Linked DNA regions of Mus musculus. The protein of the gene in region 1 purifies or fractionates together with the protein of each later gene. This does not show direct contact. Links are inferred from orthologs where the notes say so. Each region holds a gene or a part of one and is shown in the gene's direction. Other genes may lie near its edges.

Evidence for each region.
Region 2: the proteins of Src (region 1) and Cdcp1 purify together in Homo sapiens (co-immunoprecipitation; 4 studies listed by BioGRID and IntAct, with this or other methods). This does not show direct contact. The link is inferred for Mus musculus from reciprocal best matches to the Homo sapiens genes SRC and CDCP1.
Region 3: the proteins of Src (region 1) and Arrb1 purify together in Homo sapiens (affinity purification with western blotting; 3 studies listed by BioGRID and IntAct, with this or other methods). This does not show direct contact. The link is inferred for Mus musculus from reciprocal best matches to the Homo sapiens genes SRC and ARRB1.

The regions. Positions count from the first base shown.
Region 1 is NC_000068.7:157,465,745-157,469,393, forward strand, and holds part of Src (neuronal proto-oncogene tyrosine-protein kinase Src), read left to right. Parts: intron 1-128; coding exon 129-284; intron 285-1,686; coding exon 1,687-1,866; intron 1,867-2,738; coding exon 2,739-2,815; intron 2,816-3,380; coding exon 3,381-3,534; intron 3,535-3,645; coding exon 3,646-3,649. UniProt on the Homo sapiens protein: Non-receptor protein tyrosine kinase which is activated following engagement of many different classes of cellular receptors including immune response receptors, integrins and other adhesion receptors, receptor protein tyrosine kinases, G protein-coupled receptors as well as cytokine receptors.
Region 2 is NC_000075.6:123,184,892-123,188,540, reverse strand, and holds part of Cdcp1 (CUB domain-containing protein 1 precursor), read left to right. Parts: intron 1-3,125; coding exon 3,126-3,488; intron 3,489-3,649. UniProt on the Homo sapiens protein: May be involved in cell adhesion and cell matrix association. May play a role in the regulation of anchorage versus migration or proliferation versus differentiation via its phosphorylation.
Region 3 is NC_000073.6:99,594,353-99,598,001, forward strand, and holds part of Arrb1 (beta-arrestin-1), read left to right. Parts: intron 1-268; coding exon 269-406; intron 407-1,670; coding exon 1,671-1,754; intron 1,755-2,683; coding exon 2,684-2,707; intron 2,708-3,649. UniProt on the Homo sapiens protein: Functions in regulating agonist-mediated G-protein coupled receptor (GPCR) signaling by mediating both receptor desensitization and resensitization processes.

The DNA.
Region 1 (3,649 bases):
CTACAGGAGGGTGTTTGCCTGACCCCAGAGCCAATGTGCACATGATACATAGAGCCGTACACACAGGGCAGGGAAGCCAGCTTGCTGTGGGACCCTGCCTGAGCCCCATTCCCTGCCTCCATCTCCAGAACATGCTGATGGCCTGTGTCACCGCCTCACTACCGTATGTCCCACATCCAAGCCTCAGACCCAGGGATTGGCCAAGGATGCGTGGGAGATCCCCCGGGAGTCCCTGCGGCTGGAGGTCAAGCTGGGCCAGGGTTGCTTCGGAGAGGTGTGGATGGGTAAGGAACACACGCCCCTGTCCCCATCCCAGCTCAAAGACCCTGAGTCCCTCTCTTTAATTGTCTCTACTGAACAACTGGGCTGTTTTTCATTTTATTGTTGAACATTAACTGTACAAATTGTTACACTTGTTACAATTGTTTTCCTGTGACACTTTGAACCCCGCATGTAACATACTTGGCTCACTTCCAGTCCCTCACCCCACTCCCTGCCCCCCACCCCACGCTATGACTCACCAGGGTCAGCACTGAGGTGGGCTCCTGACTCCTTGTAACCCATGCTGCTGAAGATGAAGACTAGGGCATCTGTGTACCAGCCGCACCTGGGGACTGGGCACCACGGTCCTCAAGGGCCTGAGTGAGTGTGGTCAGGTCTCACGCCAAGCCTCAGCCTCCCGATGTGAAGAAGGGGCTGATGCCAAGCTTCAAGGGGCATCTGCATATTAGTTCAGCACAGAAAGAGACAGCGCTGTGCCGTGCGGAGGGAGTGGTGGGAAGTCAGTGTTCGGTTTCCTGTCTAATTGTGCAGCCATCGAGAGGCTCCTGGAGCATCGAGCTGCCTTAGCCAAACCCAGGCTCCCTGCTATGGCTGCTTCTACCCGGGTACCCACGAGTAGAGGGGGACTATGGGGCTGTAGTGGCTGTTGCCGTTTCACCATCTTCCTTTCAGAGGGCACTGGAGGGGCCGGGTCAGGTAGGCAAGGGAAGTCTTGGGTTGTGAGGAGGAAGGTCAGAGGGAGAAGCCAGCTTTTAAGGTGAGACCAAAAGGAGGGTTTGGGTAGAGCCTGAGTGAGCCACGGCCTTGGTCTTTCTCAACCTCATCTATGATTCTTGGTGTGTGGTGGGAATCTGAGGGCTTCCCACCTTTCCCTGGAGCTCTGCGCAGACCAGCAACCACCGGGAATCAGGGCATCCGGCCTGACCCGACACAGCTAGAGAGCTGACCCAGTCTACCCTCTGACCTGTCTCTGTGACAGGGAGGTCTCCCTGCCTAATGCAGCACAGGCACTGAGCTGACCTCTTGCCCCCAGTGACCCCAGACACAGCCCTCTCCCTCCTCTGACCCGTGCTGTGGTTGCTGGTGCCTCGGGTACTGACTACCCACCCATCAGGCTGCTGTTCGGCTTCCTGTCCTGTCCTAAGCAGTCAACATCCTAGTAGCAGTCACATTGTGAGCAGGCTCCAGACACACAGTTCACAGCCCTGGGAGGGGTCTCCATTCCCTGAGCCTATTTAATAAGTGTGAATGGAGAGTCTCAGCGTGGTATCTGGCCTTGCCCAAAGCCCATGCCCTGAGTTCAGAGGCAGAGATTGAGACAGGCACTTGTGTGGACTCGCCTGGGTGGCCCCAGTGCAGCAGAATGATAGCCTGTGCTCATGTTCCCACGTCTCTCCCCGACAGGGACCTGGAACGGCACCACGAGGGTTGCCATCAAAACTCTGAAGCCAGGCACCATGTCCCCAGAGGCCTTCCTGCAGGAGGCCCAAGTCATGAAGAAACTGAGGCACGAGAAACTGGTGCAGCTGTATGCTGTGGTGTCGGAAGAACCCATTTACATTGTGACAGAGTACATGAACAAGGGTAAGGTCTGAGCCCGGGGTGACCTTTTCAGGTGCCCACGCAGGGCGGGCCAAGGGCAACTTACTCCTTACCCCAGACCACCCCAATGAGTGTACGCTACATCAGGGACTGACTGCCTCTCTCCTTTTGTAAATAATAACAAATCTAGTGGGTTTTTTTCTAAAAGACGGCTTCTTTTGTCCTTTCCCACTGTCACGATCCCTGTTGTTGCTGGTTTGGTGGCACACACCTGTAATCTCAGTGCCCGGGGGTTGAAGCAGGAGATCGTGAGTTTGAGGCCAGGCTGGGTACATAGCAGGACTGTCTCTGTCTTGGTAAGCAGCAGTGTGGGGCTGAGGTTGTAGCTGGGTTGGTAGAGTGCTTTCCTAGCTTGCACAAGGCCCTGGGTTTGGTCTTAGGTTTGATCCCCAGTACTGCAAGAATTAGGCACACACCTGCAATCCCGGCACCGGGGAGATAGAGGTAGGAGGGTCAGGAGTTCAAGGTCAGCCTATAGAGTTGGGTTGCTTGAGACCCTGTCTCAAAACAAAAATATATGTACAGCATCCACATTACCTACCCCAGAGTTCCCTGCTGTCCTTAGTGCTGTGACTCTCCATCCAGCTTCAGCCTCAGGCAGCCACTGGCTAGCCGGGTTTGGTCCTGATAAACCTGTTTGTCTTGGGCTTTGCACATGATCTTTTGCATCTTATAACCCCCTGTTGTGTCTGCCTGACCTCCTCCCTACCCCACTTACTCCAAGGGCCCAGTAGCATTCCTTGATCTAGCTCCCTGGAGTCTTGGCCTTTGAGCAGCCCTGGCCAGGGTCTGGAAGCCACAGTTTCCTGCACAGGGAGACCCAGGCAAGGCTAGAGCTGGATCTCTCTCTCCAGGGAGTCTGCTGGACTTTCTCAAGGGGGAAACGGGCAAATATTTGCGGCTACCCCAGCTGGTGGACATGTCTGCTCAGGTGAGTCTCCTCTTCCACCTTCCTACACCTTTGGCTCTCGGGCTCAGTGCGCCCCCTTCAGGATGCCTGCTTTCATTACACCAGACTCTCACCTGGCAGGCGCCTGGGGTGGTACGCCACATCTGGGAATCAGAGGCACATACACATAATTAAGAATAAAAATAAAATATTAAAAGTTTAAAATTTATTACTTCCATTTGCTAGATGAGGAAACCGAGGGACAGAGAGGGGTCTTGGGACAACAGGCAGGACCTGGCACGCATCTGTGTCTATGGGTCATCTGGGGCCTCTTTTGTATATACTCGCCTGCCCGCCTGGCTGTGTCTTATTGTGACCTCCCATTGCCCTTTGCTGTCCCCTCTCCCCCTGAGCTTTGGTCTACCTTTTCAAGCCAGTGCTGTTTATTATAAGCTGAATGAAGTTCCTTGCTTGAAAAGACACGAGGTGGGCAGGGTGTTTGGGCATCCTTCTATCCTTCTATCAGGAATAACCAGCCCGAGACACCGGCTTACAGCACTGGGACGGGTGTGGGTTAGCCCCTGAGCCAGGCTCTCTGTCTCCACAGATCGCTTCAGGCATGGCCTATGTGGAGCGGATGAACTATGTGCACCGGGACCTTCGAGCCGCCAATATCCTAGTAGGGGAGAACCTGGTGTGCAAAGTGGCCGACTTTGGGTTGGCCCGGCTCATAGAAGACAACGAATACACAGCCCGGCAAGGTGGGGGTGCCTGGGGGTTATCCGATGGTATCCGTCTGTCAGGTGGAAGTGAGAGTCATGCTCCTGCGGCAGACTGGTAGTGAGTGATACCCTGTGCTTTCTTGCTTGTAGGTGC
Region 2 (3,649 bases), on another chromosome or scaffold:
GCAGCAGTTCCATGAAAATGTATGAAAGTAGAGTTCTGCTGGGGAAATGAGCTCTGAATCACTTCTGAGTGACACATCCTTCTCTGGAAAGGAAGTGTCTGACATACTTAAGTTTTTTGCACAGGGCAGAATGCAGATTTATAGCCATGCCTGTCAATGAACCACTTCCATCTCTGCGTTCATCCTAAAAACTAAAGCTTTTAGTGACAAAGGACAGTGGCACTTCCCTGCAACTCTTCCAGTGTTGAGTGTAGTAACAAAGCTGAGGCTGGAGACTAGGTTCTTGACTGAGTTGTTGGTATAGAGTCAAACCAGAAACTGTTGAGTAGCCCAAGCTATGGATAAGTCTAAGGCACCAGATCTCAGGAGCTCTGCCTTGGTAGGGACGAAGATCCCACAGTGGACTGTGGAAAATAAGAGGATGACCAGCAAGCTGGCTCAGTGGGTAAAGGCACTTACTGCCACACCCGATAGCCTGAGTTTGATTCCTGGAACCCACATGGTGAAAGGTAGAATCAATTCTTTTTAGTTCTCCTCTTGCTTCTGCATGCCCAGCAACACACACACACACACACACACACACACACACACACACACACACACACATGCACGCGCGCGTGACAAGCTAAGAGCTGTCCCATACACACAATGACATTTGTATGAGGTCCTAAAATAGTTACGGTCTTCACTGACACACAAGTCTAACTTTAGCCACATTAATCACCACTTTATCTGACCCTATTTTGTTGGATTGGCCATGCAGCACCCTGACATGAATGCAAGCTGACCACAGACAGCCCAGCTTCAGTGCTGAGTCAGCTGCATCTACAAGTGGCCAAGTGAACTCTAGGGTTGCTTTGCAATAATGAGAGGTTTGATGTAGATGATCTCAGAGGTCTTAGGCTGCTCTTGATTTCTCCTAATTCAATTCAGAGTTGAGTGTGTGTGTGTGTGTGTGTGTGTGTGTGTGTGTGTGTGTGTGTGTACATGCACATCCATGCCCATACATGTGAAAGCCAGAGGTGGATGTCCAGTGTCTGTCTTCCTCTACTGTTGTCCACTGTAGTTTTTGAGATGGTATATCTATCCAAACCTGGGACTCACTAAATAGCTAGGTTGACTGGCCATCAAGCCAGCTCTGTGACTACAGGCATGCATTGTCCCACCCAGGTTTTGAGTGTGTGTAAGAGGTGTATATATGCCAGGCAATGGTGGCACATGCCTTTAATCCCAGCACTAGGGAGGCAGAGGCAGGTAGATTTCTGAGTTCGAGGCCAGCCTGAGATCCAGGACAGCCAGGGCTACACAGAGAAACGCTGTCTCGAAAACCATGTGTGTGTGTGTATGTGTGTGTGTGTGTGTGTGTGTGTGTATACACATGAATGTGTACATACACAGACCCAGACCCATGCATGTACATGCAGAGGCCAGAACCAAACACTGGGTGTCTTCCTTTATTGATCTTATTGCCTTGAGATAAGATCTCTCACTGGCTTTTAGAAGCTTAGGTCCATTTTTCCCTCTGTCCCTCAATGCTGTGGTTACAGGAATGCACTGCCATGCCTAGTTTTGCATATTTTTTTCCTTCTCGGTTTTTCAAGAAGCCCTGTGTAGCCCTGTGTAGCCCTGGCTGTCCTGGAACTCACTCTGTAGAAAGAACTCAAAGATCCACCTGCCTCTGCCTCCCAAATGCTGGGATTAAAGGTGTGGGCCACCACTGCCCAGATCCCATGTCCACCTTTTTATGGGGGTGATTTGAACTCAGGTCTTCGTGCTCATAAAATAAGCGTTTTCCTGAACCCCATCAATGGCACTTTCCAATACCCAAGTTGAGCACAAGGACCTACAAGTTCTTATTGCACCACCAAAGGCCACTGTACCTTCCTGTCCTCTACGTACGACACAAAAACCCGAAGTGACTTTGCCTGCTTTCTTTTATTTCAGTCTTCCCTGAATCCTCCTTAGTAGTAACAGTCCTGTCCTTTTAAAAGGCTTAGGAAACACACCGTATCAAAGGATGTAATTAGTTATTAGCTTTAAGATGATTTCTCTGCAGGGTTAATGGAATCAAGAGAGCCTCAGAGCAGGGAGCTCACTGCTTTGGGAATCAGGTGATTATGCCCAGTATGTTAATGAGATGTAGAAGGAAAAGGAAGCTTAAAAGGTGAAGCCTGGCAGCACGCCCTCAAACCCATGAAATTAATTTCCAAATACAGGAAGGAAGTTACTCCAAGGTGCAGGCTCCCTGTAGCTCCCTTAGAAGGTCAGATACCAAGCACTGAGTCTGGGAAACAGTGTTTGGTGTCTTCAGTACAAAGGTGGATTTGTGTGTGTGCGCGAGTGTGCGTCCATATTATTACTTATCTCATTGCTATGTCAAAATCCTCTACAAAGGCAACATAAAGAAGGAAGGGTTTTACTTGGATCAGAGTTCCAAGGAATCCTGTCCATCATAGTGAAGAAACACCAGGAGCAGGAGGCATCTACTTATATTGTATCTCTAGTCAGGAAGCAGAGAAAGATGAGCTGGTGCTCAGCTCATTTTCTGCTTTGTATTCAGTTCAAGACCCCATCCCACGGTCAAGGTGGGTCTTCCCCCTCTTAACTAATCTAATCTAGAAAAATCTCTTATAGATGTGCCCAGAAATTTGTTTCTATGGTGATACCAGACTCTGTCAGGTTGACAGTTTAGATTAACTACCACAAGGGAATGCCCCCCACCCCCACCCCCCAAGCAGCAGCCCAGCCAGAGGGAAGTGAAAGAGGGGGCAGAGGAAATTGAGCATGGGATAATCGTTTCTGCTAAAGCCCAGCCTCTCCTGGGTGAGACATAGAATGTTCCAGGACTGCAGTGATACACTGTCAGCCCCAGGTTGTACCACATGAGGCAGTGGAGCCAGACCGTCTCAGTCTGAGTATGCAGCCCAGAATGAGAACATGGCCAAGCCTTAGGCTTCTCTCATCCAAAATAACTCCCCAGCCAAGGCACTAAAGGCCAGCAGTCAGGGGTGGTTACAGCACCTGGGCACAATCCCAAAGAGCCTACTTTAGGGGCTGAAGAGGAAGAGCAGAATGAGCCTTGCAGTATCCCTGATCAAAAACTTGTTTTTGTGTCTATGTTACAGACTGCATGTCAGGCCCGTGTCCTTTTGGGGAGGTTCATCTTCAGCCATCCACATCAGAGCTACCCATCCTCAACAGAACCTTCATCTGGGATGTTAGAGCTCATAAGAGCATTGGCTTGGAGCTGCAGTTCGCAACCCCTCGACTGAGGCAGATTGGACCAGGCGAGAGCTGTGCAGACGGGGTGACTCACTCCATCAGTGGCCATATAGATGCCACTGAGGTCAGAATTGGGACCTTCTGCAGTAATGGCACCGTGTCCCGGATCAAGATGCAAGAGGGTGTGAAAATGGCCTTACACCTGCCCTGGTTCCACCGCAGGAACGTCTCAGGCTTCAGTATTGCAAATCGGTCATCTATCAAACGTGAGTATGCACCTCCTGTCCCCACTGTGTGATCAGATGGATGTATGCAGAACGTTCCAGGGTATTCAACATGCAGTATCAGCAATGTGTTTGTTGCTTGCTTGCTTGATTGTTTGTGTATCTCTGGCTGTCCTGAAACACACTCTATAGACCAAGCTGGC
Region 3 (3,649 bases), on another chromosome or scaffold:
TAATCTTTTTTAAAAGTGTGCTATTTAAGTGTGCATGGTGACCATGCCTAGTTTAGGATTAGTCCTGCTTGTGTGTGGTGGGCCTCTCCTCTTTCCCATGGCAGTGGGCTTGCTGCTTGAGCTGGGCTCAGCCCAAGTGGTTGCCTGCATCTGGGAGATAAGGGTTGCTGGCAGAGGGCGTTGTGGAACAGGGCCAGTCCAGGCGTCTTGGCTGGGTTAGGGCTGGCTGTGATAAGAGTCATCTTCATGCTGCCTCTCTACTTCCCAGTGACAATGTGGCACCCAGCTCAACATTCTGCAAGGTCTATACGCTGACTCCCTTCCTGGCCAACAACCGAGAGAAGCGGGGACTCGCCCTCGACGGGAAGCTCAAGCATGAGGACACGAATCTGGCTTCCAGCACGCTGTGAGTGAGAGCCCGCCCCTAAGACCCAGATGCTATGAGTGAGAGCCCGCCCCTAAGACCCAGATGCTGTGAGTCCCAGGCCCCCCGGTGCCCTCTCCACGACGGGGCCCCACCCTCTTGGCCCACCACCATGAGGATGAGGTTTAGGCTCTTGCCCAAGTCTTGACTAGGGCCAGTCCCCTGGAGTGTGGCTACCCAGGGAGGATCTCTTTCTACTCCTACCCACCCAGCCAAAGACTACCGGGTCCCATCATTTGCCTCTGGGGGACACAACCAGAAAAGCTTTCTTTAAGAATTGGCAGCTCTTAGCCCAAAGTCCTGAATACAGACTGGGGTGTGTCCCTGATGCTGTCAGGGTTGGAGGGGAGAGAATCGCTTCTAGAAGAGTACTGGAAGGAGATAAATGGGGGCTTGGAGAGGCTGGGGAAAAGAGGGGAACTGGGTATAGATATGGGGGTCCTTCCACATGAGGCACCATTAGGCCATTTGGTCCATGGGCATCACTGAGCCTTCAGGGTTGTCCCACCCTAGAAGAGTTCAGACAGTTGTGGGGGGACTTTCATTCCCTCTGATGATATCTGGCTCTCTGCAAGGGATTTGGTCTTTGTCTGTTGATTCCGAGACCACGCTCCCCACTCTCAGACTTGGCTCAGGCTAGACAATCACATTATCACCCCTCATAGGCCTCCCATTTACCAACAAGCTCTTTGTCCTCCTTTTACTCTGACTTGTACCTGATCTGCCCTCAACACCCCACCACCAGGTATCTACTTAGCATATCCTTCCCATGTTACCCTGACTCCCAGCTACCCTTGGCTTCTCAGCTCTCAGTGTGGCTCTTTCTGCTTGTGGGTTACCGAGCATAAGCAGTGTGAGAGAAGTAAGTGGTGGGAGGGCGGTTAGGGCCTGTTCTCACGGCACTGTGTGGCACTGGTGAGGCAGGGAGGAGAGTCCACTAGGGCTACAGAACAAGGACATCTTATCGCTAGATGTGGAACCCAAGGAACTAGGGTCATAGCTCAGTGGTAGAGCGCTTGCCCATCAGGCATGAGACTGTGGATTTAATCTCCAGTACCACAAAGAGGGACATAAACAGAATCCAGGCCTACAAGTGCCAGTGCACTGGGCTCAGCTCCCTTTCCTAACTGTTGGACCTGGAGGCTCAGGAGATGGATGGACAGTGGTGCCTCCCAACATATGCCAATGCCTACCACATTCCGCCCACCAAGGAGCCCCAAGGTCCAGCTTCCCCGTCTTCCTGCAGGTTGCGGGAAGGTGCCAACCGTGAAATCCTGGGCATCATCGTTTCCTACAAAGTCAAGGTGAAACTGGTGGTGTCCCGGGGCGGGTAAGTCCAGCTGTCCCAGAACCCCTGCTCGTCCCACCTGCTTGCTTGGCCTTTAGCTGCATCTTCTCATTGAGGAGGCGAGACTTAAGGACTTGCTTTTCTCTCCCCTCCTCTGATTTCTTCTCCACTGGCTGGAGCGCCTCCTCTCCTCCATCTCTATCCCTCTCTCCTGCTCCTTAGCCTAGGCCCGAGTCTGGCTCTGGGGACTGGGTACAGCCTATATGAATCTGGGTGTCCTCAGACTGTGCCGTGACTCTCGGGCTACAAGGACTTCCTCACATCTCAGGACACAGTGTGCACACACGGCTCTCGGAGATCGAAAAACCCAGAGCTGAATTGGGGGGGGGGTTCCTAATTGGCTAACTTTCCCATTTTATAGATGGGGAAAAATGAAGCCTAAATAGTTCTGCTGACAGACTAAGTAGCGTTAGTTAGGGCAATGCCTCCAAGCCAAGGATGGTGCAAGGTGGTCATAGCCCTTGGGAGGGAGAGGCAGGAGAGCGGGCATTCAAGGCCATTCTTGGCAGCATAGTGAGTTTGAGGTGGACTGACAAAGAATATTGTCTCTGCGGCTGGCAGTGTTAATACTGACTTTATATAACAGAACAATTCTAAGCCCCGTGGACAGTCTTGTGTTCTGTGACTTTGCAGGACCCACAGTCTTCTCACTTTCTACTGACCTCCCCAAAGTCTTCCTTCTGCTATTAGATAGCCTGGAAGCAGGGAGACTAGTTTTTACAGATGAAGATCCTGGGGTCCAGGGGCTCTGCAAGCCCATCCCTCTGTGCCCTAGAAGAGATGGCAGCTGCCCAGGGGTTGGGAGCGTGTCCTTTGGCGGGGTGGCGGAGCAGTGAATGAATGTCCTTTCTCTTTTCTCCCGCTCTGCACTCTGTCCTGACCGCTTCTTCTGCCTCCTCTGGTCCACTCAGCCTCTTGGGAGACCTTGCATCCAGGTAAAGCCCCTCCTTTGTCTGCTTTGTCTACCTTCCTGGAGGCCCTGGGGTCATAGACCCAGCTGATCAGAACCACAGGGTACCCAGAGGGAAGGAGGGATCTAGGGTTATTTCAGATTTCAGTCTGGGGATGTGTTGCAACAGGAACTCTGCCAGGACAGGCTGGGGGATGTGGCTTCTAGCAGAACACCTCGACTGCTTTCCGTCCCACTCAAGTGACAGGACCTTTGCAGACAACAGAGATACAGGCAGTGGCCCCTAGTAGGGGCATCGGCATTACTGACCTGAGTCCTAGGATGTTCGAGAGATGCATCCTTCGTGACTTTCAGACATCTACTCCACTGAGAATTCATGGCTAACTGTGGTCAATTACCCTTGCTCCCAGACCACACGTAGGGGTGGGTGTGTCTCAGACATGATTGTGTGATCTCCTGTTGTCACACAATGACTGTGTCACTCATCCTATGAGATCTGAGTGAATCAAGAGACAATTCCATCTCTTCAGTGTCCAACAGCAAAGAGTTTGAGTCCAGACTTGTGGCCAGGCTTGTGCAGTATACTGGAGTCCCAGCAGGGAGACAGTAGTGTCCTTACTAGTCACAGCCTAGCAAGGCTGAGTCCCAGGTCCTTCCAGCCACATCCAGTATGGCTTCATGGAAGGCTGACTGTATCTGGCTTGTACCAGTCCATCACACCCAGGCCCTTCCCACTTCACAGCTGGCAACATGACCAGTAAGATGTGGTTGTGTTTTCTGGAGACACTCATAATTTTAGGGAGGCTCTGCTAAGATATGCCACCCTTAGCAGTGAGGAGCCTTCAGGGCTACGTTTAATCAGTCTTTTAATTCTGTTTATCATCCAGTGGCTAAGGGGATGGGTGATTGAGCCAGAGTCTTTCTGCACTTACTGCCAATAGCTGTGCAGCCTGAGGCAAGAGGCTAA